Danio rerio: one gene and its partners. Each later gene encodes a partner of the first gene's protein in a complex. Links are inferred from orthologs where the notes say so. Each region holds a gene or a part of one and is shown in the gene's direction. Other genes may lie near its edges.

Region 1 (10,500 bases):
GAACTTAAACAAATTAAAGTTCCTAATCAACAAATAATGCTTAAAGGATTAAACAAAGAATAATTTTTAAAGTCTCACAAAAGAGCCTCCACACACACAAAAACACACTGGCTGCGTCCGAAAACGCATACTTCCATACTATATAGTACGCCAAAATCAGTATGCGAGCCGAGTAGTATGTCCGAATACATAGAATTCGAAAATCAGTATGCGAAAAGTACCCGGATGACTTACTACTTCCGGCGAAATTCTGGAGTGCGCATCTCATGCACGCTGCGCTATTCCATGATGCCCCGCGAGCGAATTCATGAATGGGAATGAAGCGACGCAAATTACGCAGGTAGGTCGCGTGACCATGACAAAATGGCGGATGTAGTACGTCCGAATTCCATTCATACTTTCACATTCATACTGTATAGAACGTACTTTTCTAACGGCCGAGTAGTACGTTTAAATTCAAATACAGTACCTACTGAGTAGTAGGCGGTTTCGGACGCAGCCACTGTTCCATTGGAGACAAGCTGCTTAAATGCCCACGACTTTACTCGTCCTCCAATCACTGAATGGTTCATTAGTGGCAGCAGGTGACGTTAATCATCACCTATTAGGGTGTAGCAGAGAAAGGAAGAAAGAAAATACAAAACAGAAACAAATACGTCCTGGGACGTAACATAAACAAATGCAGTGAAAATATATTTTTTAAAAGAAGAACTTTATACTCCACGTCCACATTGATTTGGATAGCGCTCCTCTGCTTGTTGTGATAATATTACCTGCAGTGGCAGCAAGCTTGTTTTGCATATCCCCGACTGGAGTAGTGTGTTTTTCTATGAGGGTGGAAGAGGCAAATTGCCATGTTGAACACAGTGGCAAAGAAAACATTATATTTCACTTCACTGTACACTTATTTGACACCTATTTATCTTCCAAATAACCATGGCAAATGATTCGGGTTTTGATGTGTACCAAACAGAAAGCCTTGTACCAAATAGTTCAGTAGGAATATGTGTATCGTTACACTTCTTTTAAGAATGTAATCTCTGATTTACTTCTCATTTTGTCCCTTCGTGGTTTGTGTTACAACCTATTAGGAGGCAGAAGACCATGCAGGTGGATGCTACTGTATTTACTTGCATAAGTATGCTGTCCAGAGCTATGGGGCCTAGCATCCAACAGGACGTCAAAGAACTTCTGGAGCCCATGCTAGCTGTTGGTCTCAGGTACTGTACAACTGCTTGGATTTAGTCTCTTATTCTCAGTTATATATGCAGGGCTCCACAATAAGGACTGCCCGGTGGCACAGGGCCAGCGTGATAGCCGCTTGGGACAGTAGACAGGATCATTACTGGCCCGATTGGGACAGTGCTGCCTTGTCTCTAACATTTAATTAGTCTGTGACTATTTGTCAATTGCATGCATTTTAAGTTTGTGCTTTTAAGTCTTTAAACACTACCTTCTTTGTGATGTCGTAAACACCATATTGCTTTTCAGTACCTCTTCTCAGATTTGATGTTTTGAGCATGCAATCTTTTTCCGTAACTTGGTAACAACCAATACAGCGAAGAAACGGCAACATCAAATTATAAGGCTAAAAGAAAATGTCTGTTTCTAATGTCTTGCAAGCAGACATTTATGTGTGAACAACACAATAAAAAAAATAAAGTCATGTTTTGCACAGTTTGCCGTCAGTTTGACAAGTCAGCCACCAATTGTTAAATAATTTCGAACCGCAATAAAATACCACCACGTTTTCCTTTGCTGTTTTTGTTTGCATGACACTTTTCGAACAATTTCAAAGTATTGAAATTGTAGAATCACAGATTTTATTTTTGACACATTACTTAAAATATGCGGCTAAAAATAGCTATTAACTTCCATTTTTTAAATTTATTTATTTATTTATTTTTTTTGGATGGGGCCAGTGAAAATTTTGGCAGGGCAAGTTAAAATCTGAACCACTGGCCCGATCGGCCCAGTAGAAAAAATCCTTAGTGTTTAACCCTGATAAGGCAGTCATTGCTTAAAATGCAATAATTCAGTACTAAACACTATTCACAACTCATTCAGACAAGTCAAGTAAAAAAAAATGTCAACATAAATTTAGTGAATTGTGCACAAACTTTGAGGCTTTTTACATGCCAAAAGATTTAAAGGGAATGTGATACGGCTGCACAATATTGGAAAAATTAGATTTTTCCTGTGAAAAATATTGCAATATGAATACAGTTTCACAATATGGTTTGAATTAGGGGTGTCAAAATTAATTGTTTCTTCTGTGCACCGCGATGCAGACGCGGACAATTCGGTATGGGTTCAGTAATAATCATTACCGGTTATTATGTACTGACGTCATTTACCTCATATGCGCTCTGTCGCAAAGGAAGGTGAGTGCGGGTATTTTCAACACTCCAGGAGCCAACTCAGGGCCGGCACGTGGCAAAGGCAGTATAGGCAAATGCCAAGGGCGCTGTAAATCCAGGGGGGCGCCAGAAATGAGTGCGGTTAAGTTGGTTTTGTTTTCGATATTCCTGACACATTCAGTGATAGACGGCAATAACTCAAAAACCTCTTACCCTAAAAAGATCTAAAGTGTGTTTCCTACAAAAAGACAAAGCTGGTTATGTTTCACAGCTGTCTTTTTCTTTTTTACCCAAAACCTGCTTACCGCGAGTATGTTGGTTCCAAAACAGGTGATAAGAGTTAGTTAAATCAACCTCCTGAAGATAACCGCAGGTTAATGCGCGTGCACGGCACAAACCTAAAGGCATTTTCAGTAGATCGCCGAAAAAATGTTATGAAAAAAAAAAGCTATGCACTTATAACCCTCTCAAAATGAAAAAACTTGTATCTGTGTGTCCACATCCACAAATATTCTCATCAAAAGAGCATGCAATGCTGAGTAAGCTCTCTGAAACAGACAAACAAATGGAACAGCAACTTACTACTCACTCTGGAACATAGCAATTTACTCTCTGAACATTTATCTTCAGAGAGTAAGTTGCTATGGCTACTTAACATACAGTACCCAGAAGTTACCTCCGATTTTGGAACCAAAGCTGAGGTTATCCACCTACTTACTCTCAAACTTACCCTGGTATGTCACATAACCTGCTTTCTGGAACAGCCCCCAGTATAGGTTCACACCTCTAGTTTGAATGGCACTATTTGATGTTTTCTGATGAGTCAAAGTATCCGATCACACCGAAAACGATATTGCGTTGAACGGCACTTTTTTTAAAATGATTTACTAACAGCTGTGAGTGTTTTGCGTGCTGTTTATTCGCTCTGCGCACCTCGCGGTTTTGTTATTGCGCTCTGTATGGTTGCAGTTGAAACAAAAGTCAAGTCTGAGCAGAAAAGGCGCGCTACGTCAGTCGGGTCTTTTTCATTCTCCAATCAACTGAAAGCAAAACGTATTTTAAAACGAAAACGTTATAGTGTAAACAGTGCCTTAGTTACATTAAAGCTATTATCTACGGAGACCCGGAAGGGTCGTAATGGTGGAAGAAAAAAATGGGTGGGGGAAAAAAAAAAACAAGTGATAGGTAAACATATTTTTGAAAGTTTTTGCGTTCCCTCACAAATATGTTTTGCGTTATCTCGCAAATATGTTTTGTGAGAGAACGCAAACATGTCTTGCGTTCCCTCGCAAAACTGTTGTATGACAAACATTTCACTTCATACATGACAACCCTCCTGTTTTTGCTGGAATTGTTCCGTATTTTACCATTATATTCTATTATCAGGTGTTTTCCCATATTTTTCTCATATTTTAATCTTGAAAGCATGTTGAAAACAATATTAAAATGTCTGCATTCACTATCTTTCCATTTGAGCTGTGCGTCGATCAGCGCCCCTCATATGCACTGATAAACTGATCCCAGATCAGCTTCTGTAAACGCTATTTAAAGTGACACCTCTGTCATCAAACAAGTGAAGAGCAGCAAATAATTTTCTCATTTTGTTTTGTTTGATGAGGTGTCACTTTACGAACGCACTGATATATAATGAAAGCATACTTTAACTGTTTGTGCTCAATTAAGAGGAAAGTAGCTGTTAAAATAAAACATGCAGGATGGACATGTTTACGTATTATTCAGTGTATTTGTCTGTTTAAGCATACACCCTAATCCGAAAGTGTCCTGCACTTCTGCTCCTCTGTAAATAGGGTGTACAGAAGCTGATCTTGAATCAGTTTATTGTACAGAGCGCGTCTGTCAGTCAGCGCTTATACATGCATTCACTGGTTCAGAGGTTGCATATGAAAGGTGATGATCAACACACAGCTTTAATGTAATGAAAGTGATGCAGACATTTTAATATTAATTTCAACGTGCTTTCAAGAATAAAAATATATCAGAAATATGGGAAAATACTCAATGATGGGATGGTAGAAGGACAGAATGGTAAAATACGGGAGAATTTCAGCAAAAACGGGAGGGTTTACATGAATGAAGTAAACAGAAAGTGTTTTAGGAGAAACAGTTTTGCAAGATAACGATTTTTCCTCCCACCCAGGTATTTTTTTCTTCCACCAATTTTTTTTCTTGCACCTATTTTTTTCCCCCCCACCATCACGTCCCTTCCGGGTCTCCGTAAGAATCAAATAAAAAAAAACATTGTGAAATTTGTAACCACCCAGAAGTAAGATTTTGGGAAAAAAAACAATCCCGAAAAGTGTTTTGTCCAAATAAATTTTATTACACACAAGAGTCTCTTCAACACTATAAATAATCCTGTATGCATGACATAGCATTGAACAACCCCTTTAAACATTATTTCTCTTGCCAACTCTCTTCTCTTCAGCCCTGCTTTGACTGCAGTGCTTTACGACCTGAGCAGGCAGATCCCACAGCTGAAGAAGGACATTCAGGATGGTCTGCTAAAGATGCTTTCACTTGTGCTCATGCACAAGCCTCTTCGTCACCCGGGTATGCCCAAGGGCCTGGCGTATCAGCTATCATCGCCCAGCCTGACCAATATCCCTGAGGCTAGCGACGTGGGCAGCATAACTCTGGCACTGAGAACTCTCGGCAGCTTTGAATTTGAAGGTAAGATGACTTAGGTGATGACCTTTAAAATAAATAGCATTTTCTTATCAGTTTGTTTATGAATTAAAGGACCAGTTCACCCAAAAATTTGAATTCTGTCGTTTTGTTCCAGATCTTTGTTTATGTTCAGAACAGAAATTAAGATATTTTAAAGATATTTTAGGGTGCTTTCACACCAGTGAATCGTCCACCGGGAATATTTCAGTGGCTAAACAACACGTCTTTGCATAGAACCCAATCATAACACAATACACTCTACATCAGCTCTGTGTGACTGATATAGTTTTAAAACAGAACATTACCTCTCTAACAGAAATACTTCAGCCATGGTGTGGTGTCGTCCTTCCTCCAGCGTGCAAAAGTAACTCCAATACTGATTCAGGAGTTTAAAAAGTTGGAATTCAGCATTTGAATTTGCTGCAACTGACAGTCTCGCGTGCATGTGTCGCTCATCTAGGCGTGCACCTCAGATTTAAGCTAATTATTTTGGATGTGATTCAAATGGCACGAGACACAGAACATAGACTCAAACTTTGCCATATTTGAAGCTTAGAGGTAGATTAAAGTTAGTCTCTGTGTGCACAGATGGAGGGACGGCCAACTGTACTGTAGTCTGCTTCAAAACAGTGGTCAGTACTCGTTTAGCGGGAACTTCGTGGTTCCTCAAAGCCTGGTTTATACTTCTGCGTCAAGTGACCGGCGTTACCCATGGCGCATGCAACACGCGTAGCTGTGCATTTATACTTCTGCACGTCTCTGTTGGTCTGCATTAACACTTCCGAAACGCTAGTTGGCAGTGAGGCGTTTATGTTCCTCTGTGTCGAGTTTCTTCACTGGTGTTTTGCTTTTCCTGAACACTTCTGGGATGTACAAGTGGCTCAAACTTGCTCATTTTGTGGCAGGAACCGGCGGACGTGCAACAACTTTAACTAAGAGGTACACACAAACCAAATTTTCCATCCAGAGCTCCTTCACGAGACTCCACAGTTGTAAACAATCGCTCCATCTGGCTCGCACCATTTACGCGGCTCTCGGTCCCGCCCAGACTCGTCAGCGCTACCAAGACGACCAATCACAGAGCTTGCGCTACGCGTCGTTGTGACGTGTAGTTAAATTTTTTTTAGAGGTGCACGTCAGCGACGCCGAAGGCCACGGCAAAGGGCTATGCGTCAGCGCCGTAGCATACGCCGGCGTTTGACGCAGAAGTATAAATCAACCTTAATGGCGGATTTGCGTGGCCAGAGATGCGCAAAAGCCCAAATCTGCATTTGTTGACTGACAGTTTGAGTTACTTATCGGAATTATGAGAGATGTCGGTCCGACTTTATTTAATTGGATGAACATTTTTTATTTTTATGCCTTACCCAGAATAAAAAAAATACATATAAACACATTTAGATCATTTACTTTAATCATTACTATTAGACTGTGAAGAGACTTTCAATCAGCACATCAAAAATGCTTCTGAAGACAATCAGCTAATGCGCCTTTAATAACAGAACTTTTTTTTTAGGTGAACAAATTATTTAAATGTGCGGTGTGTACGAGTTAGACTAGTGGTTAAGCTTGGTATTGCATTATATGATTACATCAGATACTGATCATTTGCTTTCTTTAGTGTTAAATGCTACAAATGCGAATTTAAATATCTTTATACTTGACATTTATTGGCACACTGAAAACATCAGTGTGTTTACCTCAGATCTTGAAACTAGCAGGCATATAGTTTAAAGATTAAAGATTAAAAGTTAAAACTGTGACTCAATGCAAACCAACATAATATCAGTCATTCAGCATGTACTTTGAACAATGTTAAAGAGTTTTAATATGTAATGCATACATTGAGGCAACTGAAAGGAAATGAGATTTTTTCCACCAATGCAAGCCAGAGTGCGAAAATTTAATTGGGTAACAATGACAGGCATTCTTATATGGAAAGCACATTTTTCAAGGAGAATAACTGACTTTAACTGGCTTTTTTTTAGATAAACATTAGCATGCTCTTGTCGGCGCAATAGCCTAGTGGTTTGCGCGTCGACATACGGTGCAGTAGCACGTCAGGGCGTTCCGAGATCGAATCCCGGCTTGAGGACATTTCCCTACCCTACCCCCCTTTCTCTCCCACTTTGCTTCCTGTCTAAATACTGTTCTATCTAATAAAGGCAAAAAGGCCAAAAAAAAAAAGAAATGTTAGCATGTTCTTTTAAAAAATATGCAAACATATTATGGTATTTTTATGCTTTAGATGAATCAAAAATGTATATACAGCACCTTTAAATAAGTGTGATGATGTTTGGTTGATTTTTAGGCCACTCCTTGACCCAGTTTGTGCGTCACTGTGCGGACCACTTTCTGAACAGCGAGCACAAGGAGATCCGCATGGAGGCGGCGCGCACCTGCTCACGTCTGCTTACCCCCTCCATCCACCTGCTCAGCGGACATGGACACGTGGTCAGTCAGACCGCTGTGCAGGTGGTGGCTGACGTTCTCAGCAAGCTACTTGTGGTTGGCATCACTGACCCAGGTGAGAGACACAATTGTTTGAATGCGTGATTATAGGGACGGTGAAGAGAGAACATTAATAAATCTGTAAATAAATCTATTAGTAAATTTACCATTCATTCATTCATTCATTTTCTTGTCAGCTTAGTCCCTTTATTAATCCGTGGTCGCCACAGCGGAATGAACCGCCAACTTATCCAGCAAGTTTTAAACAGTAATATTTAGATGTGTGAATTGTAAAATTTAAGTAATGTTTTTATGAAATCTTTTTGATTTTTGACATGTTTTAAAAATATTGAAATTTTGAAATTGATTTGTGGCAATATATTTGTGGAACGGTGGCTCAGTGGGTAGCACTGTCGCCTCACAGCAAGAAGGTCTCCGGTTCGAGTCCTGGCCAGGCCAGTTGACATTTTTGTGTGGACGTTGCATATTCTCCCCGTGTTAGTGTGGGTTTGCTTCGTGTGCTTTGGTTTCCCCCACAGTCCAAAGACTTGCGCTATAGGTGAATTGGATCAACTCAATTGTCCGTAGTGTGTGAATGTGAGAGTGTATGGGTGTTTTCCATTACTGGGTTGTGGCTGGAAGGGCATCCGCTGCGTATAAGATGTGCTGGAATAGTTGGCGGTACATTCCGCTGTGGTAACCCCTGATAAATACGGGACTAAGCTGAAGGAAAATGAATGAATGAAATGTGAAATTTTTGACCGATACTGATAACTCAGGCTAAAATCTGATATATTGGCCAATAAACATAAATTTGTTTGACATTTTTCTGAATGATTGCAAGTATAATAGGCAAACACACAGTGAAAAAAAAGTTTTTTTTTATTTTAAAAACGTCTGAAAAGTTTGAACTAATAAACTTTAAACTTTATTAAATAGCTATTAAGCTCTGTGACTAACTTTCTCTTTTAGACTTTTTTCTTTGAATGCAAAATTACCCATTCTGCTTTGCATATATGTGTAAGGAGGATGTTCCGAACTTCCGGTCAGCAGCTTGATGAGTATAAAAACATTTGGACAGCTTAAAGATAATTATAGTTTTAACCCATTTTACTTTACCATGCGAACACAGGGAAAACATGCAAACTCCACACAGAAATGCCAGCTGACCCAGCTGGGACTCAAACCAGCCACCTTCTTGCTGTAGGGCTTTTCAAATTTATAACTGACCCAAACAAATGTAATTCACCAAAATGTTTGACACACACACACACACACACACACACACTCTCCCCAGGGTTTCTGCGGGGTCTTAAAAAGTCTTTATAGACCTTAAAAAGGCTTAAATTTACTGAAATATTGTGTTGTAGGTTTTAAATCTTTTTAAACAGGTCTTATTTTTTTTTTATTGCGACCCAATCTGGCCGAAACCAATACAATTACCAACAATCCATCATAAAACTTATTTTTTATTTAAAAAGGTAATTTTATCATAATTATTTATCGTAATGGTTTAGTTTTTTTTCCTTAAAATAACATTTGTTTAAAAGTGCTCCATGTACTTACTGCTGAGGGTACCGACCTAGACTGATTGAATACAGATTGGTAACCATTCACATCTATAGTAGGAAAAACAAATGGAAGTCAATGGTTACAGGTTTAAATTTTTTTGTTTAACAGAAGGAAGAATGTCAAACAGGTTTGGAACATCCTCCACGATAAATAAATGATGACAGAACTTTCAGTTTAACGTGAACCATCCATTCATCAGCCAGGTTTTCATCTTGTTAAAGAGAAATGGTTGAATATCACGTTCTATGAGAGTTTATCTCATACATGCACTGTTTCTTTGGCCTCATGACAGACCCTGATATTCGATACTGTGTGCTGGCCTCCCTGGACGAACGCTTTGATGCCCACCTGGCACAAGCAGAGAACCTCCAGGCTCTGTTTGTGGCGCTGAATGATGAAGTGTTTGAGATCCGCGAACTGGCCATCTGCACCATCGGTCGACTCAGCAGTATGAACCCTGCCTTTGTCATGCCCTTCCTGCGCAAGATGCTCATTCAGGTACTCATGTTTGTTAGCATTTTTTTAAATGTACATCCTATCATGATATACATACTCTTATATATTATATATTAAGAGGATCTGTTAAATAGCATAGTGCCAGAATAAAATATCACACAGGTGAGTGGGCTTGACAAACCACCTGTAGAAAACACTCTTTCATCTCGGCACTAGTTTTGCACATTTGCACAAGACACTTTCTTATAATCACTCCACATCTATAAAAAAATAAATAAATAAAAGTCATTGTGGGTGACGCGGTGGCGCAGTAGGTAGTGTTGTCGCCTCATAGCAAGAAGGTCGCTGGTTCGAGCCTCGGCTGGATCAGTTTGCGTTTCTGTGTGGAGTTTGCATATTCTCTCTGCGTTCGTGTTAGTTTACTCCGGGTGCTCCGGTTTCCCCCACAGTCCAAAGACATATGGTATAGATCAGGGGTGTCAAACTCAATTCCTGGAGGGCCGAAGCCCTGCACAGTTTAGTTCCAACCCTGCTCCAACACACTTACCTGTAGGTTTCAAACAAGCCTGAAGGACTCAATTAGTTTGATCAGGTGTGTTTAATTAGGGTTGGAACTAAACTGTGCAGAGATGCGGCCCTTTTGGAACTGAGTTTGACACCTGCGGTATAGATGAATTGGGTAGGCTAAATTGATCGTAGTGTATGAGTGTGAATAAGAGTGTATGGATGTTTTCCAGAGATGGGTTGCAGCTGGAAGAGCATATGCTGCGTAAAACATGTGCTGGATAGGTTGGCGGTTCATTCCTCTGTGGCGACCCTGGTTTAATAAAGGGTCTAAGCCTTTATTAAATGTCTATAGAACGAGACCTAGCTGTCACTCAAGTGGCCACTCTCTTAATTATGCAGACTTAATATAACCTAAGGGTAATATTAGCTATATGAACCAAATTAGTTTTTTGGACCAGGCTGTAAA
Region 2 (11,142 bases), on another chromosome or scaffold:
ACCATCATGTCTATGTATCATACTTTCAGTCCCGGTGCCTCCTCCTGCATGCCGACTGGCGGACCATCATATGGATTCTCCATCAGAAGTTTCTTCAGCTTCTTTAACCTCGGTCTCTGCCTTCTCAGCTCCCAGTAACAGTTTGAAAATCCCCAAATCTGCAAAATAAAGCTTATTTGTTAATTCACACAACATTTACATCATCGCTTAAGATAAAAATACATCATTTCCTCAGTCACCTGTGTGTGCATGAGCTGAGGAGATGCTGGGATGTCAGACAGCTGATCTGGAGTTTTACATCCTGGGACAAACAGCAGCAGATTTGAGGTGTCTGCGATTTTCAAGTCGTATGTTTTGTCCTCACTGCACAGAACTGCATGCTCGTCTTTATCACCTCTGATAATAAGGCTAGTGAAAAGAATAAACACACATAACAGATGAATAAATCTCAGCCTTAAAGAGATGGTTCATCCAAAAAAATGATAATTCTGTCATTAAGTATTTTCCTTTGACTTAATCTAAATCAAACATGTAAGGGCTCTGGATACAGACCTGGTGCAGATGCAATCAGAGCTATATGCAATGCTTTTTAATGGGCTCACCAAACCCCACCCCGAACCCTACCTCTCGCAGTGACGTCACTAGCTCCACTGAGTGCATTGTGTCTGACATTGCATCTTTGAGAAATGTAATCTCAGATTGCATCATAAAGGCTGCATTCAGACACTAGATAACCATTCATTTCCATTGCATTTTTTTTTTTTTTTTACCTATTATGGAGCTGATGCAGCTGCTAAAGATGCTTTGAAGCAAGTAGTGAACAAATGCCAAATTCCTCCGTCAGAGATGAAAACTTTTATCAACGCTTACATTTTAAACAAGTGGCAAAAGGAATGGGATGCATTAGAAAACAATAAACTACATGAAATCCAACCTGAAGTTTCACACAGAATTTTAAGACATTTTAAGAATCGATTTGATCAAGTAGTTTTTACCAGATGTCGTATTGGGCATACGAGAATAACACATGGTTTTTTGCTCCAAGGTGAAAACCCTACTCAGTGTTTGTGCTGCAAAACTCCTCTTACTGTAAAACATATTTTACTGGACTGTCCTGCTTTTACTGATTCCAGAAGGACTTTTTATGAAATGAACTCTTTTAAGGACATTTTTGACAAAATAACACCCGAAAAGATTTTAGAATTTTTATCATGTATTAACACAAAAAACTTATTTAATTTATGTTTTATTTTGTTTGTTGATTTTTAAATTTTATATTTATTGTTGAAAGATTCCTGCCATGAAGATAGCCTTGGTTGCTGACATGACACTAAATAAAAAATACATTACATTACATTTACCTATTATGGACATTAGTAGTTACAGGTTTTCAGCTTTAAAAAAAATCTTCTTTTGTGTTCAGCAGAGGAAAGAAACTTAAAGGTTTATAACCACACAAGGGTGAGTAAATAGTAAGTTTTCATATTGGGGTGAGCTATCTCTTTAAGAAAAAGAGGTGCATTAAGATACCTTTAATCTGCTCCTGTAGTGTACTTGTCTTCAACATCTAGGGCTCTATTTTGACGGTCCATGCGCAGAGTGCAAAACGCAGGGCGCAAACGCTTTCAGGGCGTGTCAGGGCGCGTTTTTGCTAATTTAAGGACGGGAAATCTGCCTTGCGCCAAGGCGCATGGTCTAAAAGGGTTGAGTTTATTTTCTTAATGAGTTATATGTGTGTTTTGAGAATAAACCGATTAGAGTCTCATCTCCCATTCCCTTTAAGAGCCAGCTGCGTCGCGCCAAGAGCGCATTCGCTATTTACAGGACGCAAAGTAAGTCTAAGTGGAAAAAATTAGCATTTCACAAGCAAACAGTTAACAGTGAACAGTTTTTTAACAGAAAACTGTTAAACAGAGCATCTACTGCGTGAGAATGAAAGATAATGGATCACTTTCACTTTTGGATAGGGAAACCTTTACGCACAGACATCAATTAGTCTATAAATAAATAATTTTGTTTGTTAAGCGCAAATATTCGATTCAAAACTATTTCAGTTATAATTTCCAGCAAACAAATAAATGAATAATAATAGCAAAATGTGCTCAAAAACCTGAGTTATATCCTAAAACACATGCTGTGCCCCATATGGTCTAAAACCTGACAGGTGGGCAAATCTAAGCTTGTTTTTAATAAAACAAATATAAATATGGATATAATAAATAATACTGCTAATAATAATAACATTATACACAAGCAAATTGTTATGAATGAACTGAAAAAGCCTCCCGAGATGAAGAAGACATTAAAAGCAGTTTTTTTTCATATTTATGTAGGCTAGAAAATAATAAGCTTTGTAATATTTTAATCCTTTATATTTATATCCTAAATCTATTCTTATTATATCCTATATATATCCTTAATATTTAAATTTTTTCATATGTAAAGATATTTGCCTATTGCTCTCTTGTGCGTAATAAGCAGTACGTAAGCGAGGCGCAACTCTGCGCCGGAGTTTAGACCGGGTTAGTTTTGGTCTAATGAAACATCTATTATAGTCTCTCAAAATAGCAACGCGCCAGCGGTCCACCTCAGAACGCCTTCTTTTTTAGACCAGAACTCCTATGGGTGCACAAATGAGCGCTAATTCATTTGCAGGGCTCGAAATTGCGACCATTTTGGTCGCATATGCGCCTGAAAATTAATCTATGCGACCGCATAATATATTTGGGCGCATTAGTGCGACTGCAGATAATGGTTGAGTGAGACCTGTTTTGATTTTTTTGTAAAAACGTGCTGAATCGCTCTTCCCTGCTGCCGCTATATTGGTTTCTATTAGCTGTCAATCCCTCAAGGTATTCCGCTGTCAGATGACAGGGAAGGAGTTTTGATGACCACGGGAAATGCAAACGGCTGAAGAGTAAAAACTTAAAGCACACAGGTTTGCAAACCCCACCTAAAGTTGAGGCGCAGATGAAAGCAATCATGACACGTCACGTGGTGAATAATGATCCACCAGCTGAGATCAATCGAGTACGCGCTTCTTGGAGAAGGCACTCGAATCTCCATGCGTTGCATTCACTGCGTGTTCAGCGCAAATGTCCGCTAAAAGTCAAATCTAATACTGTACATATCATCGCCAAAGAAGCTTGCCTTTACCAAGTTTACACTGAAACTGCGGCTCATAACAAAGAGCGGTATTGCGCCGGTTGTCATCGCAAGAATCCTGCTCTGCCTGCTCATAAATTGGGTCGGCTGACTCGCCAGCTTTTCCATTAACACAGAAAAATGAAGATCATCTCAGACAGAACCTTTAAATTGACACAAACTGAAACCAAAACTTTTAAAGAGTGATAGAAGTGAGATTTTATTTACTTTCTTTTGTCTATTCTTTTTTGAGGTGTATATTATTTTTTTATTTATTTACTGATGACTTTGCAGCTTTCATCATTGAATTGAATGATTTAATATAATCTTTTGTTTGTTTTGTAGCAGAAATATTATTTATTAAATTGACATGCATATAAAAACAGCAGTACAAAATCAATATTTCTTACTGCAATGCTTTATTTTTACAAGGCAGTATCATAATGAGAAATGTAATTCATTGTTACTATTATTGTTATTTTCATCATCATTAATATTCTATGGCCTAATTATTAGACATTCATTTTGGAATTATTGCACACAAATATCAATGTCTTCGCAGCATTAGTTAGATAGTTGTTTCTGGTTTTTGTCAGTCCTATTGACGTTGTTTTAAAATACAATAAATCCCTTAAAAAACAATTTGCAGCGGTGCTCATTCATTTTTGGTGGTTGCTCCTAAATTTTTTCTGGTGCTCCTAAAAATTTTTTTGGTGCTCCTAAATATTTGAAGTTGGGAGCACCGGTGCTACCAAGTAAAAAAGTTAATTTCGAGCCCTGATTTGCTATTTAAACAGCGTAGCGCAACGCCTCAAAAGGACTCTTGCGCCAAGCTGAAACTACCAAAAGACTATTGCGCAGCGCCTTGCGCCACACTGCGCCGGGTGTATGATAGGGCCCCTAGTGCCCCTCAGTGTATGTGCACATGTAAGGCAAGTTTATTTATATAGTTCATTTCATACACTGTGGCAATTCTAAATGCTTTACATAAACAAGAATAAAAAAGTCAAGTATAATAAAATAAAAAGCAATAATAAAAATTATTAAAAAACATTAAAATGTGTTCTGTGTGTTTTGGCAGTTGCCATGTAAACATAAACAAACACATAAATCATAAAACATACTTGGTGTTCTACACAGTCAAAAATGTTTTATAAAAGTCATGCAGAAATGTCACCACATTCAAATTTAAAAACAACTTATGATTTATGCCTTGTTTTTTTGTTTGTTTTTTTCAATTCTGTATTAGAATAAAGTTTTGGATATGTATATCATATTAATATTAAGTTCATAAATGTATAACAACCAATACACATTATACATACTTTAGTACCATGTATATAAAAATAGACAATATAAAAGAAAATAACTAAAATTTAGTGTATTTATTTCACTAAATAATAAAAATGACTGCATCATTTTTCAATAACAATAAATAATTTAAAGGCCATAATTCTAACATTCTAACAATATATTACATTCAGTTAGCATCATGATACCATCTTAATATCTTATTTCCATAGTAATTCATTTAACGTTAGCCTTTTTAATGTGCATTTTTTTCACAAGACAATGCAAAACGTAAGTTCTATAGCGACGTTCATAAATGTAACGTTAATTGTTGAGACGATCATCTCAAATTATACTAAAGCTGAGCATTCATCTTTCAAAACGAAGCAATGTAACAATCATTTTGCTACCTCTTTCCTGATTCAATGTGCTTGCAGAGATTCTCATCCACCTCCATGAGACAGTAATCGCCCGACGACACATTATCTCCGAAAGATAGACAGTAAGTGACGGGCTGCAGGTCTTCTTCTTTAACTTTGGCGATTTGTAGCGTTCCCTGAACCTCTTCTAAAGTCCTCATGCTGTCAGAATTACTTTTATCCAGACCGACTGAACACAAACACGTCTGCTGTTGTCAGCGATCAACTTTCCCGCAATATTTGAGCCGGAAGATGATGCCGTTGATCGACAGTAGTTTGAACCAATGAGCGTGAACCAATTCAGGCTGGCGCGTAATATTGTGTAAACGTCACGTGTCCACTAGATGGCGCTGCATAACACATTTCACCACGTGTGTCACTGTTACGTAATATTATTGTTTTGATGCTGGCAAAAATGTGCGTTGTAGAAAATTATGAATAAAAAAGACAAATAAAATATAGATAAAATAATAAAATGAATAAATAATTAGTTGTTAAATGTTATTAATAGTGGAAATTTACAAGTTTACTGTTCACAAAATGAACATTCAGTAGCTATATTAAAATGGTTCCAGTCACATTCTTTATGATTTTAAACATGTAAGGTTGTTGTTTTTTTAAAATAAAAATAGTTATTAATTTGGATTTTTAATTAAAAGATTCAGATGAGAAAAACACACAAAATGCTAATACAAATGCATGTTTTGAAGTCTTTTTTTTTGCTATTTATTGTTAAATTAATTGCATAAGTCTGTTGTGACCGTTCTGTTTATTCGTTTTTAACATAAACATTATTCCAGACATAATAAATTTATAATAAGTTTAATAAACCTGAATTAAACGTTTCAACAGTATACAACAACTACATATAATATATTATAAAATATTTTACTACTTATCCTTTATCTTTTGCTCGTTTGCAAAAACATAAAACACAATATATATATATTTAATAAGTATATGAATCCTTTCATTTCTTTTGCCTGGGCATTTAAAGTGATTGAGTGATGTGCTCAAGCTCCGCCTCTCATGGTAAACTCCCCCTGTTGAGGATGGTCAAGTTGACTCGCCCTACATGGACAGTAACGTGCTTTCAGTGAAGAATAGTAAACAATCCACAATGCCATGAAGAAAATACATCATCTGGGGTCTTTGTTCAGGAATAATCTTTAGTTTGAATCCTCGACGTGATTTATTGCACGATTTTGGGGTTCATTTTGCACACGACGGGATATAGGCTACTGTTGGCTGAACTGAGGGCACTTGATGGCACACAAAAAAACAAGTTATTCCGAGTCGTTTTGCGCTGTGATCAAGATTACAGTGATGTTCTTTTATTGACACCGCTGGTATTGTTCTGCGAAGCATAAGACTGAGGTTTCTGCATCGGAACCAAGGTAAATATTCTCGTCGCTTGCTTGTTTGTTTCGATGTCCTTTAACTTATGGGATGATTCGGATGACATAATATCTTTTCATTCATCTGACCAGTCCGTCCAGCTCAAATTTTAAGGCTGTCATAACAATAATCACGCCTTACAAAATATGTCATGAGGCGTGTTCTAAAATGAATACAAGCTCAAGCACGCTGTGCATGTCAACTAATTCTCAAACAGTGTTTTTTTTCATTCAGGCGTTGAATAATCACATCAGAGTGCATGATTTGGTATTCAGCGCGGCTGTCAGAGATGGACGGCATCGGGAACACCATGCAGAAGAAGGCTGCTGAGCTGGAGCGCATGGCCGAAGTCCTCGTTACCGGAGAACAGTTACGGTAGGTGTGGCTTTACACCCCAATTACACCGTAGCGACTAGTCAGAACGAAAAACCTAGCGTTTATGCATGAACTGCGCGCGACGTCGAAGGTTTGTCGCGTCGCTGTCATTAGAGCTCTTTAACTCTTGCAATGTGACCTCTTAAATATTAAATGGACAGTAATAGTGTGCACATATGCTAGTGCGAATTAAAATGTGTACAATCTGCTTTATGGTATCATTCACGTGTAGTTCTCACCTATTAGTAGGGCCAGACGGAATCTGCGGACGTTTTTTGCTATTTCTGCTGAGAATTTGGGTAAAACTCTGCGGATTTCTGCTGAATTATTTTGGTAGCATCATAACTATAACCTTAATATGTGAAATGAAAAAAAAAAATATATTTTTTAACTTTTATTTCATGTTTAAAATGCAAATCCGATTAGATTCACTTTATTTGGTTAACAAAGTCTCTCATAAAATATATCTACTAAAAGACAGAAAATATTACTGTACAAACTGCATTGTACTTAAATCAGATGAACCTTTTCATATTAGTTAATAATGTTACTGTAAATAAAAATGGAAAAATATAGATTTCCAACATTTACTCAAGTAAATAAACAGAATTAATGATGGGCTAAAAATCTGCAGAATTCTGTGGAATTCTGCGCGCGCAGATTCCGTGTGGGCTTACTTATAAGTCATTAGCTGATACAACTTTTAGATTGTATTGGAAAGTCACTTTAAATTAACTATTTGCAGTTGTTGTTTTTTTCTATAATTTTGCAGTATTTCTTGTAAAATATTCACAATTGCTCATTTTTATTTTTCAATAATGTGCATCCAGTTTTTTTAATTACAATAACTTCCCATCCCTGACCCCACACAAACACTGCACTCAGAGACTTTGGGCCCTATTATACACCTGGCGCAATGTGGCGCAATAGTCTTTTGCTAGTTTCAGCTTGGCGCAAGAGTCGTTTTTAAGGCGCTGCGCTACGCTGTTTAAATAGCAAATGCATTAGCACTCATATGTGCGCCCATAGGCGTTCTGGTTGTTATTTTGAGAAACTATAATAGATTTTTCACTACCAAAACAAACCCGGTCCAAACTCCAGCGCAGAGTTGCGCCTCGCTTACGCACTGCTTAATACGCACAAGAGAGCAATAGGCAAATATCTTAACATATGAAAAAATTTTAATATTAAGGATATATATAGCATATAATACGAATAGATATAGGATATAAATATAAAGGATTAAAATATTACAAAACATATTATTTTATAGCCTACATAAATATGAAAAAACACTGCTTTTATGTCTTCTTCATCTCGGGAGGCTTTTTCAGTTCATTCATAACAATTTGCTTTTGTATAATGTTATTATTATTAGCAGTATTATTTATTATATCCATATGTATATTTGTTTTATTAAAAACAAGCTTAGATTTGCCCACCTGTCAGGTTTTAGACCATATGGGGCACAGCATGTGTTTTAGAATATAACTCAGGTTTTTGAGCACACTTCGTTAATATTGTTAATTTATTTGTTTGCTGGAAATTAGAACTGAATTTAGAAATAGTTTTGAAATGAATATCTGCGCTTAACAAACAAAATTTTATTATTTACAGACTAATTGATGTCTGTGCGCAAAGGTTTCCCTATCCAAGAGCGAATGTGAAAGTAGATCCGTTATCTCTCATTCTCACGCAGTAGATGCTCTGTTTAACAGTTTTCTGTTAAAAAAACTGTTAACTGTTTGCTTGTGAAATGCTAATTTTTTTCCACTTAAACTTAGGCTACTTTGCGTCCTGTAAATAGCGAATGCGCTCTTGGCGCGACGCAGCTGGCTCTTAAAGGGAATGGGAGATGAGACTCTAATTGGTTTATTCTCAAAACACACCTATAACTCATTAAGAAAATAAACTCAACCCTTTTAGACCATGCGCCTTGGCGCAAGGCAGATTTCCCGTCCCTTAATTAGCAAAAATGCGTCCTGACACGCCCTGAAAGCGTTTGCGCCCTGCGTTTTGCACTCTGCGCATGGACTGTCAAAATAGAGCCCTTAGTTTTTAATATATGTTTAAATCATTTTTAATGTTTATAAAACTCACTTTTTCACTTTTCATTGACTTATTCCCTTCTTTCATAAAGGGTTGCCACAACGGAGTGAACCCCCCATTAGTTCACAAAACAGACCTTTTAAATACATGTAACAATTTCTAGACCAAATGCTGTTTAAATGAGGTCTGCTATATAGGTTCCCTCTTTGACTTCTCTGATGATGTGACACTGACATGAAGGTATGGCACATGGTCACTCACATGAGATCTCAATAGAGTGAGTGTCTGTCAACTTTTTTTTTAGCTGTTTTTTATTTTCCTAAATTTTCATTAATCTTTCATTTTTCATTGTCATAGGTTTAAAAATCCTGCAAGTTAAATTATATATTCAGTTGAATAACAACCTTAGAACTCACAACAAGTTTGTCTTTAATTGTTAAACAATAATTTCTATGAGTTTTTACCTGAAACCTGACCTGAATCATTCACAAAGCTTCTGCTGTTGTGCACTGCAGAATCTTGCCATATAGGGTCATCCAGGTACTTTTTGTTTGCTGTTTTTTAAGTACTGTAAATTTAGACATAAAACAATTTTAACAAGAACTTCACTTTTTAGTCATCTCAACTTCAGTCTAACTGACTAAAAACATTAGATAAAGTTTTACATAAATAAAAAACGTTTTATATATATATAAAAATATATATTTATATATATATATATATTTTTTTTTTTTAATTATACATATATATATATATATATATATATATATATATATACATATATATATATATATATATATATATATATATATATATATATATATATATATATATATATATATATGTATAATTTTTTTTGAAGTATATTATATATTGGATGTAAGTTTTTTCATTTAAGATTTATGCAGAAATCTTCTGTAATATGTTTGTGGCTCTATCCGTTCTCAGACAGCTGCTCCTATGTCAACGGACTGTGACAGTGATAGTGAAAGGAGCATAAGTGTTTAGTCAATACATCTGATTAATGATTGCTGAAACAGTACCAGACACAGCTGTCTTATAGACTGTCTAGCAACTTCAAAACATATTACTTCATTACAAAATGGGTAAAAAATACTGATTCTTTGATTTGAATCAGCCTTCAATTTAACAAAACAACAGTTATTTGAGAAAACCAAAGTTAATTTTTAATCCTTAGGCTCAACTTCAAAGGATGTCATTATTTTTTGCACTTCACCTCTCTTCCTAAAGATGCCCCATCTTTTGAGTTATCCAGCTTAAAATAATAAAAACAGAAAAAAAATTAATATCTGTTGATCGTGGCAAAAGATCACCGTTGCTAAATTTAATAGTGAAGTACAGTCTGATAAAATATTTCATGATCTAAGACAACGACTGTAAAGATGACATTGACAAAACTACTGTCATTTGCAAGTTGCCCACAAGTGCTAATAACATGTCTACACCAAACGCAAGCAGCGCGACTCTTTCTAAACTATGTAAATTGTTAACTACAATTGATGCCCCTTTCTATTTCTAACGTGCTCGAAGCACCACTGACACAGAGAACAAATACATTTCAAATGCTTATAGCCCCATCCAGTGTAAACAGCTTCCAAATATCTTGTTTAGTATAGACAGTTTGTACACATTTTCCAGACAATGGTTTTATACTCCTGTTTTGAATGTTTTAATCCTTAAAATACATTTTTTTAAACTTGTTATTAAATTTTAATGTTACATGCATACATTTTTTTTACATTAATGCTAATTGTGCAGTTAAATTGTGTTTGTCACTCAAAAAAAGGTAAACAATAAAAAAAATGTATAATTCTAAAGTATATATTATATAAACAGTGTTGCCAGATTGGGTGGTTTTGAAGTTGATTGTGCGGGTAAAAAAATGCATGGTGGGTTGACAAAATTTGGGCGGTTTTGAAACGTAACTTTTATATGCAACTTATTCAACAAAGCATAACTGTGTGCTCCTACTCCATTTAGATAATAGCAACCAGTATATAGCGCAAACTGCATTGGCTCACTTGCAAGAGTAGGTGAAGGAAAGTTGTATTTAAATCTGACTCCCCGGACAAATCTGACTCTTACAGCAGTTTATCATGACACTTTTATCGATCATTTTTTCCACAATTGACAGCAAGAACAAACATAGAAGCATCGTCTAACTGACAAGCAGCACCTAATTTTGTTCAAAAGACTTTCAAACGCCAAATAGGATGAATTAATTACCCATTTCGAAAGTAAAACATACTCTAATAGATAGTGTAATTTACGCAATATTTAGTGCTGTGTGTGGCTGAGGCGAGGGCAGTGTTTCGATGTGATCCAGTTATGTTGTGGTTCTGTTGACTGCTGGTGTTGGTTGCTGTTTGGTTAAAATTATGGCAGTTAAAGTAGCTATGTAAATTTAGCATCGTGGCGGGTTTTGGACAGTTTTTCGGTTGGAAAA
Region 3 (11,295 bases), on another chromosome or scaffold:
CCAGTGCTGTTCATTGCAGATGCTCGTATCACCTTTGACAGTTTTCGCAAAAGTATGGTGGCAACAGCGATCTCCAAAACAATCATTACCGTCAACCCTGGTAAAGATGTGATATGCTAAAGTAAAGATATTTAATACTTTAACATTAAAATCTTTCATTTTTTTGTTGATTACTTATAGATACAGCAGAGGCAAACCAGCTGTACACATTTGTCAGGGAACTGTTACAATCTGGAGGACTGGATGACCAGGACTTCCTCTCTGGTGATGATGTGCTGTGTAAGTTATTATTGTTCACACTTTACATTAAAATTGCAGTCTTAGTTTTCATGTGATGTCTCACATTTTTCATATAAAGCATTTTAGTTATTGAAATGCTGCAGCAGGGGTTGTATATGGATCACAGGTGCTTAAAACTGTGTTTCTATTGTTTTTTTTTTGTTTGTTTTTTTGCTTTTGGTAGATTATGTAAATATTTGTGGCTTAAAAGTGCAGTAGGTGATCTGCCAAAACGATAACCGCTTGCAGGAATTTCATATATTACTAAGCCACACTTACATGCTATTTCAGAGCGAATATTTAGAGTAGCATGGTAAACAGTATAGGGAGGCTGTCATTGATCATAAATGAACCAATGTGAATATAAAAGCAACTTCAGCCCAATAAAGCAGGTTAGACAGAATAGTGCTGTTTGCTGATGTTTTGGTGTTGAACTAAATAAAAATCTACATTTTCGATGCTGTCGAAGGTCCCTTATGAAACTGAAAATAGTCACATCAATCTTTCGCCGGGAGATTTTAGTGGCTGAACAACACGTCTGTGCATATAAGCCATTCATAACGCAACACAATCTAACATACAATCTAATAGAACATTGCCTGTCTAACAGAAATACTTCAGCCATGTTGTCGTACTTCCTCCAGCGTGCAAAAGTAACTCCAATATTGATTCAGTATTTTCAAAAGTTTCAATTCAGCATTTGATTTCAATGCGTCTGTGATTGTCTCATGAACGTGCGGCGCTCATGCAGGTGGGCACGCGCGAATGGCGGATCTGCGTGAACAGATGTGCAGAAGTCTGAATCTACATTCGCTGACATACAGTTTGAGCTACTTATCGAAATTATGGGAGGTGTTGGCCCGACAATATTTAATTGGATGAACATTGTTTAGTTTTATGCCTTACCCAGAATATAAAAATACATATAAATACATTTAGATCATTTACTGTAATCATTACTATTGGACTGTGAAGAGACTTTTAACCAGAACAACAAAAAATGTTTCTGAAGACAATCACCTACTGCACCTTTAAAAAGTTATCTTGACAGATCTGTACTGCAGTTCTGTCAATGTTTCGCCATACAGTTTGTTAACAAACAATGTTAACAATGTTGACTTACAATCAACTATTCATTTGTTAGAGTATTAACTCTTTTACCCTTCAAATTCAAGGGCCGTGGGAAACTTCGGTGTGTTTATAAAATGTTTGTGGCCTGTGAGAGCATATGATATTATTACATTCACAGTCAATGCAAACTAGGTTGCATGAATGATGTAAAAGGCACACATTTAACACTGTTAAGGAGTAATAACGGTTAAACAGTCTTACAGATATAACCGGCCTTTTGAAGGCAGCCATAATGCTGAAGTAGCCCTCAGTGAAAATAAGTTTGACAGCCCTGCTTTAACAAGGACTGTAACATTGACTGTTTTTGCAGGTTTTATCAATAAAACTGAAAAGTTGCTTAAAGTGAAAAAGAAACAGCTGAATTTTATATTTTTTTAATTAAAAAAAATCAAAGTTAATGTTAACTTTAAAGTTATTATATATGTAGCTATTCGTGATAGCAGAGGTCCATTTGAAAATAACTAATATAATTAAATTATAATTACTAATCAACAACTAATCAGTTGTAATTTGAAATTAATATGAATTTAGATAAATAAACAGGCAATTCTATAATCACTGGTATATTTGGTACCTAAATGCTTTTGTTTGTTTCAGTTTTTGTCAAATGGTTATATTTTCAGTTATCTTAATAACGAGATGTTATAGTTTATAACAATATGTAGTGCAAAAAAGTTTGTTACATAGCTGAGAATCACGATTTCTTCTTGTCTAAATTAGTCAATGTATTTTTCCACCATACTGTAATTAAAATATTGAAATATTTAAAATAAGGAAATATACTTTACTTTAGTAATATTCAATTTATTGGTCACACTATAAAATAAGGTTTCATTAGTTTATATGAACTATTAATGAACCATACTTGTGCAGCATACATTAATCATTGTTCAACATTTACTAATGCCTTTTTAAAATCCTAATTTAGCCTCGTTAACATTAGTTAATGCACTGTGAGTTAACAAACTAACGAAGAAAACATGTATTTTCATTAAATAAAATGAACAAATACTGTAATAAATGTATTGTTCATTGTTTGTTCATGTTAGAAAATGCATTAACTAACATTAACAACTACAACCTTATTGTAAAGTGCCACTGATTTACTATTATTTACAAAAGGGTGTCCTACATAGTCAGTTTTTTTTAATTCTACAACATAGCAAAACTAGTTATTCAAAGTAAAATTGATCCTGTAAAAATAGCATACTGGAAGTGATGTTTGCCCTCACTATTTTGATCTGAAAAGGACTGAAAATTATGTTGTAAAATGTCAAAAGTGTCACCACAAGAGCAAAAGGAAAAAAAAAACTCAATACGAGGTTGTTTACTCTGTCTTTTAACAATGATTTAATTAGTATTTCAGTTTTTGGCTAATGGGTTTAAAGTAGTAAATTACATTACCATCAAACAAACTTTTACCATGAAAACTGCATTATAAAAAACAAATGAATGCAAAATGTATCTGCAGCATTTTATCCTTAAATTTCTTTCCCCTCAGTGGATTCCATTAGAGACGTCATGACAGTAAGCCAACTTAAAACCAGAAGTCAAGAAAATGCAGATGCCATTCATTGCATCATATATGGATTCATCACCTGTTTTGATCTGGGTTCCTCTCCCTCCAAAATAATAACCAAGAGATGGTGAGATTGCAACGCTTACAGTTTTGTGAGATACAAATTCTCATGTCACAATATTAGTCATCATATATCCTGATAAATATAGTAGTCGACATTTAAAATGCATATAAAACATTTCAGACAATTCTTTGTAAATTGAATGAACTTTTACAAACTTTATTGATCCACTTCAAATGCTGACTACTGTATATCACAATATACAGTATATGTGTTTTAATATAAATTCAATTAATTATTAGTATGTATGTAGTGACCGTGCCACATTACAAATTAAATGTAATAATATATTTTTATTATCCATACAATATTTATATATTCTTATATTGCACAGCCCTAGCTTATTTTGCTTTTAATGTATAATTTCTCCACTAGTGCCAGATGCAAATTTCGAATCAATGAGGAGAGTTGGACGTGTTCCAGTGACATTTGTCCAAATCAAGGACAAGAGCTCCAGGCTAATGAATGCTTTGATGTGCTGGTGGACATCAGTGACCACACTGGCACTTTGCAGTCATGCAACCTGGTGGGCACAGTGGCTGAGAAAACTCTGGGCTGTAAAGTGAGCAAATCTAATGCTTATATTAATGCTGGTGAAGAAACAAAGCATTCAAATGTCATAATACATTCAAAATCTGTATACTAAACTTGCATTCTGGGTCTAATTGGTGTTAAAGATTATGTTTTAAAAAATATTTTTCAGCCTATTTGCTCCATATCTCATCTCATTAATGAGTGGATGTAGAATTGAGTGTTACTGATTTTATCTTATTACTCTTTAATGCTTTTTTAATTGTTAATCAAAATATAAAATATATCGATCTTTGAAAATTTCTAATTGCACAAAAACTACACCAAATCCTATTTGATTATGTCATTGTAGGAAATTTATAGTAAATAAAAGAAAAAAGTTTTACATAAGAAATATAAGAATATAGATTCTCGCTAGTTCAAGACCCGGCTAAGCCAGTTGGCATTTGTGTGTAGAGCTTGCATGTTCTCCCCATGTTGGTGTGGGTTTTCTCCAGGTGCTCTGGTTTCCCCCACAGTCCGAAGACATGCGCTATAGGTGAATTGAATAAACTAAACTGTCCGTAGTGTATGTGTGTGAATGTGAGAGTATATATTTGTTTTAAGCATCCGCTGCGTAAAACAAATGCTGGATATGTTAGCAGTTCATTCCGCTGTGGCGACCCTGATTAATAAAGAGACTAAGCCAAAAGAAAATGAATAAATTAATGATTTAAAAAAAAAAACTGTCAGATTAAACGTACTTATTGATTTACCACAAAACAACATTACTCTAAAAAGTTTTCAAACAAATAAACAAATTTTATTTGCATGAAGTTTCAGATTAAGATAGATAGTTTTACAAATACTTTTGGCGCATACTCTTTCTCCATTCATACCCAGGTCCAAAATGGTCCAAATATAAAACTTACAATTAAAAAATACATCTTTTAACTGTAAAGTCATTGTTAAATTACATAGGCCTTACAAAAATAAATTGCTTATTTTTGTGGTTTTAAAGTTCTGTAAAGTTTCATTACTAAAAACATTTTTAGAAAATGTTAGGTGATAGGAATATCTTGAAGAACAAACAAAAAAAGAACTGAATGCATTTTGAGGGTTAAACCACCTAACTCTTTCATTTATTCATTCATTTATTCATTCATTAGTCCCTTTACTCACCAGGGAACGCCACAGCAGAATGAACCACCAACTTATCCAGCACATGTGTTACACAGCGGATGCCCTTTTAGCTGCAACCCTATACTGGGAAACATCCATGCACACTCATTTACACACATACACTGTCCAATTTAGTTTATTGAGTTCACCTACTGTATAGCGCATATGTTTGGACACACATGCCAACAAGGGGAGAACATGCAAACTCCACTCAGAAATATCATCTGATTTAGCCAGAACTCGAACCAGTGACCTTCTGGTTGTGTGCTAACCACTGAGCCACCTTGTCACCAATGGCCTAACTGTCTCTAATAATACATAATAGATATTTAAAGACTGTTAGGATTGTGCAGTAAAGTAATATCATCTTGACAGACAGAAGAGTTTTTGTGCCTGTCGGAGTATCAGCGGACAAGCCTGCAGTGGAAGTTTCTTCTGGAGCGATGCAAAATATATCTGAAGGTTTTACATGTTTGTCATAAGTTTTTTTTTTTTTTTTTTTTTGGAATGTTGATCATGTAAGGATGTAATTCACCATTTTTTTAATCGCAGGTTCTTCCATCTCCCAGAAGGAGAAGTGGAATGAAGGCAGACATCTTGTCATGCGGACTCGCTGACCCCGTTGAAGTGAAGCAAAACCTTGCCTCATTTGTGGTTTGATGTTTTGCATCAGCAACCAAACAACACAAAACAGTTCCTCATATGAGAGCAAATCGATTGTAAACGTGCAGAATTGATTGATTCATTCAATTTAAATGCAGATTATTGAGTAATAGTTTTCACATTTGGTTCCATTGTCCTCCTTTACCTTACACTGTTTTTGTTGTATATTTAAATTAATTAACTTAATTTATTTATATTTATTTTGGTACAGTTAAACTGATGTAACCAATTAAATAAATATTAAAAAAGAACATTTTTCTGAACTTCGGAACTCTTGATTTAAGAATTGTTTCTGGGGGACGGTTTTGGAAGAAGCACCGCTTGGTTTGACATACATGTAAATAATGTCGTTTTCGCTTTTAAGATTATAGATTTACATATACCTAACTGAGGTTTAGCGCTTTCGTCTCGCTCAGGTAAGATTTACTGTACGTTATTTTTAAAATCATGTGTCTCCATGTTTATTTTAGACAATTTTTTCACGCTGAAAATTAATGTATAACTATAACAAGTGTTTAACGTCATTTATTTCTGTGCAACCACAGTTTAATCGTGCTGCAAAAATATAAATAAACAAGCTGTAGAAACATCTATGTTAAAAGGTATTGAGGTACATTTATAAAATTTTGAACAAGCAGAGCTTAAAACTAGGCATTCTTTCGCGTAGATAACTTTAGGTCAGGACTGAGCAGAGCTGATTATGAATGTGAATCAAGGCACCGTCGGAAGTGACCCGGTGATTCTCGCCACCGCTGGTTATGACCACACCGTCAGATTCTGGCAGGCCCACAGCGGGATCTGTACGAGAACTGTCCAGCACCAGGACTCTGTATCCTTCACCCAACAGATGCCCAGTCATTACCAAGCTTAAAGTCTTCTTTATTGTTACCTCTTTAAAAAAAAAAAAACTTTTAAGTGCTTTGTTTTTGCGTAGGATTGTATTTTACAGTACTGTAAAAATACTCAAATGTCTGTCAGTATTTTCAAATAGTAATATTTGATTTACCAGTCATACTAGTGACAATTTCACATCTGTCAAGCCGATAATGGAGAGATATCACATCCATAGGGAAGCGTTTTTCCTCATGAATGCAAAAATGTAAAAACAAATAAAATAAAATCAATGATTTTTGTTTCCATTGTGAGTCAACTCTTATCCTTTTGATTTATTTCTTTTGAGTTGTGTGTGGGTTCTCTTTCTCAGAATTTCTTCAAAATGTGTTGTATACTGTAAACTCGCTAACTTTTTTGTTCACATCCATAACACGTTTATTTTTCCCATTTAAAATCTAAATAGTGTTTACAGATTGATATTGTTCTGATCCCATAACTCCCATGGTTAGTTGTTTTGGAAAATATGTTATATGTTTCAATATAATCTTAACTTTTTATGTTTTGAGTTTTTACTGCAAATATCACATCCTTAACGCTGGAATTGCTCATGTGTACTATAATAAGTCTAGATGGCAATGTATGTAAAATAGCTCAGTGGAGATGAAGTACAGTATGCACACTATGCTATTGCTTTAAAGACTTTTATTTGGACTGTACATGCTAAAGTGTCTCCTTGGACACATTTTGTCTGGAAGAAATGTGTAAGTTTATTAAAGTGCAAAAAAAAAAGATGCTTAACTGAAAACACCAGCAAGTCAATTCTCTTGAAGTAACACCTGATAGGAGCATGATTGCTGCTGCTGGTAAGTTCTGCACAATCATTACTTAAAATCAACGATTTTCATATGAATATTTGTATTGTTTATCCTCCAGTTTTATTATAAAACACTTTTTGACTGTTACTTTTAAAAGGTGCTATAGGACTACATCTATTTCGTAATCATTAAACCTTTTATTTTTTATTCCTATACCTTATTTAATTTCAGGTTATCAACACATTCGCATGTATGACTTAAATTCAAACAATCCAAACCCTGTGATCAATTACGATGGAGTCAGCAAGAACATCACGTCTGTGGGCTTTCATGAGGATGGTCGGTGGATGTACACGGGTGGAGAAGACTGCATGGCTCGCATCTGGGACCTGAGGTACTGAGTCCTGTTTGCTTAACGAAAATAGATTAAATAGTTCATGCAGTAGATGTTTTTCTCAAGTACTGTTTCCATTCAGGTCCCGAAACCTTCAGTGCCAAAGAATATTTCAAGTCAATGCACCCATTAATTGCGTGTGTCTTCATCCCAATCAGGTCAGTTAAAACATTTCATTACTTTTTTAAATTCTCATAAGCAAACGAATCACATTTTCTTTAAATGTTCCTGTTTTAGGCCGAACTAATCGTTGGGGACCAAAGTGGTGTTATCCATATCTGGGATTTGAAAACTGACCACAATGAACAACTCATCCCAGAGCCAGACGTCTCCGTCAATTCAGTCCATATCGATCCTGATGCCAGTTATATGGCTGCAGTCAACAGCTCGGTCAGTAAACCGTCAATATGGCACTCTGCTAATGAAGCTGTGTTCATGTGGAGGTATTAAGGGGGAATTCACCTCAAAAGTGAAAATCGTCATTTACTCGCATGGTTTTCAAAACTTACAATACATGTGTTCATTTTAGAAAAACAAATTAATGTGTATTTAAATAAAATCTTAAGGATTTCTCTCCTTCTACCTAAAGTCTGTTAAACTTTAAAATATTAAAGAGATGTAAAACAAATCCATATAAATCAAGTGGTTTAAGACTTTTGAAAACACACAGTTGATTTATATGATGAAAAGATTGAATTTAGGCTTTCTTATACATGCAAACATTGATCAGAAAATATAAACAGAAGCTCAACCTCACCAGATGTCTGTGCTTCTTATGTGAACTGGATTTGATTATGGATGATTTGACATAATCCCAGTGAGTGTTGTTCTTCAAAAGTCATCCAGGAACTTTTTTTTTTATATAATTACAGGTCTGGTAGCTCAAACATGCTTGAGAGCAGGCTTACTTCATGTAAACAGGATTAGATTGAGTCAGGTGAAGGTGATACTGATAGTATGTACCAACTACTGATACTTTCAGCATGCGCCCAAATAATCTGAATTAAAAGAAAAGAATCATTTCACACTCTTATGTAATCTACACTCCATAATTAAAGTACAAAATCTGCTGATATCTTTCTAAAGGTTCAAATAAAACATTTTTGTACTTTGTGATTGGAATATACTTTTTAAGTAGTAATACACTATATATTTTTAAGATACCAACAAGGACCTTTAAGATACAAACGCATACTTTGAAATGGTTCTGTCCCAGTTTTGTACAAATTCTGAGAGTGTATGATAAAAGATATGGCAGATAATATATACATATATAAATAATAATTGTATAGTTTATAGAATCATGTAGATGTTGAGAGCTAATATGTGCCTTATGTAGAAACTTGAATACTTTTAAAGAAAATGACCTCCAAAAGTAAAACCAAATAAATAGCTAAATCTTTGACACTTGAAAGTGTGAAGCCTGCACAAACAGCCTGCAACAAACGTGGGAAGTTCTTGCATATTATATTGAACAAACCGTTAAATTCACTATGAATTTTGTAGTTTTGCTGAAATGGCTCATAAATGACGATTATTCAGATGAAGGCATTAGCCAGTCAATCAGCAAGTATTTTACTGCATTGCTAATCATGATTTCAAGGATCAAGAGATCTGTCCTTACAGCAAACACAAGAACACAGAGAAGAATGGACCCCTGTTTGTCACACAAGAACAAACCTATTTGGTTCTTGCAGATGTTCAGGCATGCCATGTGACACAAAATATTACCCTCATTTTTTTTTTTTTTTGGTGTAAAGCCTCTATCCGTGAGCTTCCATGATCAATTTGAATGTTGTAAACATTCTTCATATTTGGTTAATTTTTCTTTCTGTAGGGCAACTGTTATGTGTGGAATTTGGCTGGAGGAATGGGGGATGAAGTGACGCAACTCATACCCAAGACAAAGATCCCAGCTCACAAACGCTACTCATTACGCTGCAAATTCAGCCCAGACTCCACGTAAGTGTCTTGCAATACTAGAAGGACAATAAGAGAACTGTAAAAAAGGAACAGAAATGCCTTCATTTATTTCATACTGTTCTCCAATTTTACTGTTGTACATCAAAAAACACCATCATTAATTTTCGGTGTTGTTTTGACCTCTCTCATTAGAAGGAAATTGTATTGCATGTTTAGCTAATAGTAAACTATTTGGCAAACACACAATACAAGGAAAAACAATTCTGTCTGTGAGTTCACCGTTACACACTTTTAAATGGCCCTGATGTAGACAAAGTTATGCCAATTGTGTGCTAGTTTAAAGATCCGAGCTTATACTGAGGCTAATACGCACAAACATTGGATGGCCGTTCACATATTGCATATTTTCCACACGCAAGTTCATTTTCCAATGGAGACGTGCGCTTATTAGGAGTGGTGTGCACATGGCTTGTAGAGCGGACCGACGCACTCGCACTCTTATGTTAGACGAATGATTACAAATTGTTCAAATGATTATGTATGTATGACTGCAGATAATAACAACAGTTCATTTAAATTCTTAGCTAATATATAGCTAAAAATTAACATTAGACAAATATTTTTATTTATTTATTCTTATTTTTTTATATTTATTCATAGTTCTGTCATTTATTTTTATTGTAAAATTATGACTCATGTTTAAATCATTTTCATTCATTTTCATTTATTTCAAATTCATTTATTTTTAAGTTCAAAGAGAGAAATGGACAAATGTTAGTTTATTATTAACAATATTTTGTGCTGTATTTGATTACTGAGCAGCAAACAACATTTTAAAATATAGGCAGTTTTCTTGTGATTTTCTAAACTAGTGGTGTTTTGAATGTAATAAATGCACAATAATGGTAATAATTGTGAAACCATGATTATTCTTCAGACTATATCGTACAACCAAAATCATTGCATTTCTAATTGATTTTGTTGTGCTTTGAAATACAACATTTGAATACACATTGTACAATCCCGTGATATTATGTAGTTTTAAAATACAACATTTTAACGTTTTGGTGTAAAAAAAAAAAAAAAAAGCCAACGTGGGTGTCTCAAGGAGCAAATTACAGCATGTGGGCTCTTATATTGCAGTTGTGTCATCACTTATATTGCAAGTCATGTCTCTCCGGCCCCTCATTTTGGATGCATTTCATGAACTGGCCCCCATTACAAACTCATTAAATAGCCCTGGCCTACATCCTTCATGTTAAATAATCAGTACATATGAAACTATATGTAATAACTGACAGTTGAATTACTGTTAAATCCAATATTGTCTAGACCAGGGATTTTCAACCATTTAGAACATGCCCCTCCCAAGTTTGTCCAATTTCACAGCCCTGACATTGGGGTTGAGTCAAACATTGAGTACGTTTACATGGACACTAATACTTAATTATGATGAAGACAATACTCTAATTAAGAGTCTACCATGTAAACAGCAAATTTTTTTTTTTTTTGATTACCTTAATTTGACTAAAATCATAATTGAACTAAACAGAAATGGATTTAAGACATGTGGAGTATGCATATATTAGTGGAATTATTGAAGTAAACACCACAATCAAACTTATTACCGTCATGTAGGACTTTTTGCTGCATTTTGTGACATTATCCACACACACGCCTCAGTAAAGGACTGCAGACACACACCGTGAAATAGGTAGTTTTTTTCTTTCCATCTGGCTTGCGGTATTATATTCCGTTAAAACAACGCTCTTCCAGTCCTTACTCCATACTCTTATCTAATACACCAGTTTGTCATGGCGCATGAATGTACTGTTCATGAGTGAAAGTGAAACTGCCAAACTGCATTTAAAGTTGAAAAATTTAAGATGAAACCTAAAATTACATAAAACTCTGCAAGAAACAT

What was found.
Region 2: the proteins of mtor (region 1) and deptor are in contact, whole or in part, in a cryo-EM structure (PDB 7PEC), measured with the Homo sapiens proteins. The link is inferred for Danio rerio from reciprocal best matches to the Homo sapiens genes MTOR and DEPTOR. Residues at the interface, in NP_001373429.1 of Homo sapiens: Met304, Gly305, Phe306, His1494, Cys1498, Trp1501, Gln1525, Asp1527, Ser1528, Glu1530, Glu1531, Cys1534, Met1535, Ile1536, Arg1538, Arg1547, Gln1554, Leu1556, Leu1559, Gln1562, Cys1563, Lys1566, Arg1683, Leu1685, Asp1686, His1687, Lys1710, Ile1711, Phe1714, Gln1715; in NP_073620.2 of Homo sapiens: Arg54, His56, Leu57, Lys58, Thr59, Tyr60, Pro61, Val101, Arg116, Lys119, Asp121, Gly122, Thr123, Phe124, Lys131, Ala132, Arg135, Arg138, Lys142, Glu177, Gly178, Glu179, Glu185, Cys304, Asn305, Lys307, Gly335, Asp336, Ala337, Val338.
Region 3: the proteins of mtor (region 1) and mlst8 are in contact, whole or in part, in a crystal structure (PDB 4JSV), measured with the Homo sapiens proteins. The link is inferred for Danio rerio from reciprocal best matches to the Homo sapiens genes MTOR and MLST8. Residues at the interface, in NP_001373429.1 of Homo sapiens: Leu2269, Arg2270, Met2271, Ala2272, Pro2273, Asp2274, His2277, Leu2278, Thr2279, Leu2280, Met2281, Gln2282, Val2284, Glu2285, Val2286, Glu2288, His2289, Asn2292, Asn2293, Glu2536; in NP_001186102.1 of Homo sapiens: Tyr20, His22, Asp42, Ser43, Gln44, Val45, Asn46, Tyr62, Asn87, Glu105, Gln148, Thr174, Arg221, Tyr222, Leu224, Ser268, Arg270, Gly271, Trp272, Trp274, Ser290, Lys313, Val316.

What each region holds. Positions count from the first base shown.
Region 1 is NC_133183.1:56,016,013-56,026,512, reverse strand, and holds part of mtor (serine/threonine-protein kinase mTOR), read left to right. Parts: intron 1-1,091; coding exon 1,092-1,220; intron 1,221-4,806; coding exon 4,807-5,051; intron 5,052-7,359; coding exon 7,360-7,575; intron 7,576-9,363; coding exon 9,364-9,569; intron 9,570-10,500. UniProt on the Homo sapiens protein: Serine/threonine protein kinase which is a central regulator of cellular metabolism, growth and survival in response to hormones, growth factors, nutrients, energy and stress signals.
Region 2 is NC_133191.1:14,924,830-14,935,971, forward strand, and holds the start of deptor (DEP domain-containing mTOR-interacting protein), read left to right. Parts: upstream 1-5,882; 5' UTR 5,883-6,250; intron 6,251-6,468; 5' UTR 6,469-6,510; coding exon 6,511-6,626; intron 6,627-11,142. UniProt on the Homo sapiens protein: Negative regulator of the mTORC1 and mTORC2 complexes: inhibits the protein kinase activity of MTOR, thereby inactivating both complexes. DEPTOR inhibits mTORC1 and mTORC2 to induce autophagy.
Region 3 is NC_133187.1:20,161,458-20,172,752, forward strand, and holds the start of mlst8 (target of rapamycin complex subunit lst8), read left to right. Parts: upstream 1-5,712; 5' UTR 5,713-5,821; intron 5,822-6,072; 5' UTR 6,073-6,105; coding exon 6,106-6,234; intron 6,235-7,050; coding exon 7,051-7,102; intron 7,103-7,285; coding exon 7,286-7,448; intron 7,449-7,530; coding exon 7,531-7,606; intron 7,607-7,685; coding exon 7,686-7,838; intron 7,839-9,285; coding exon 9,286-9,410; intron 9,411-11,295. Other genes in the region: meiob (meiosis-specific with OB domain-containing protein), read left to right, coding at 5-100, 181-279, 2,912-3,056, 3,426-3,612, 5,118-5,204, 5,295-5,402.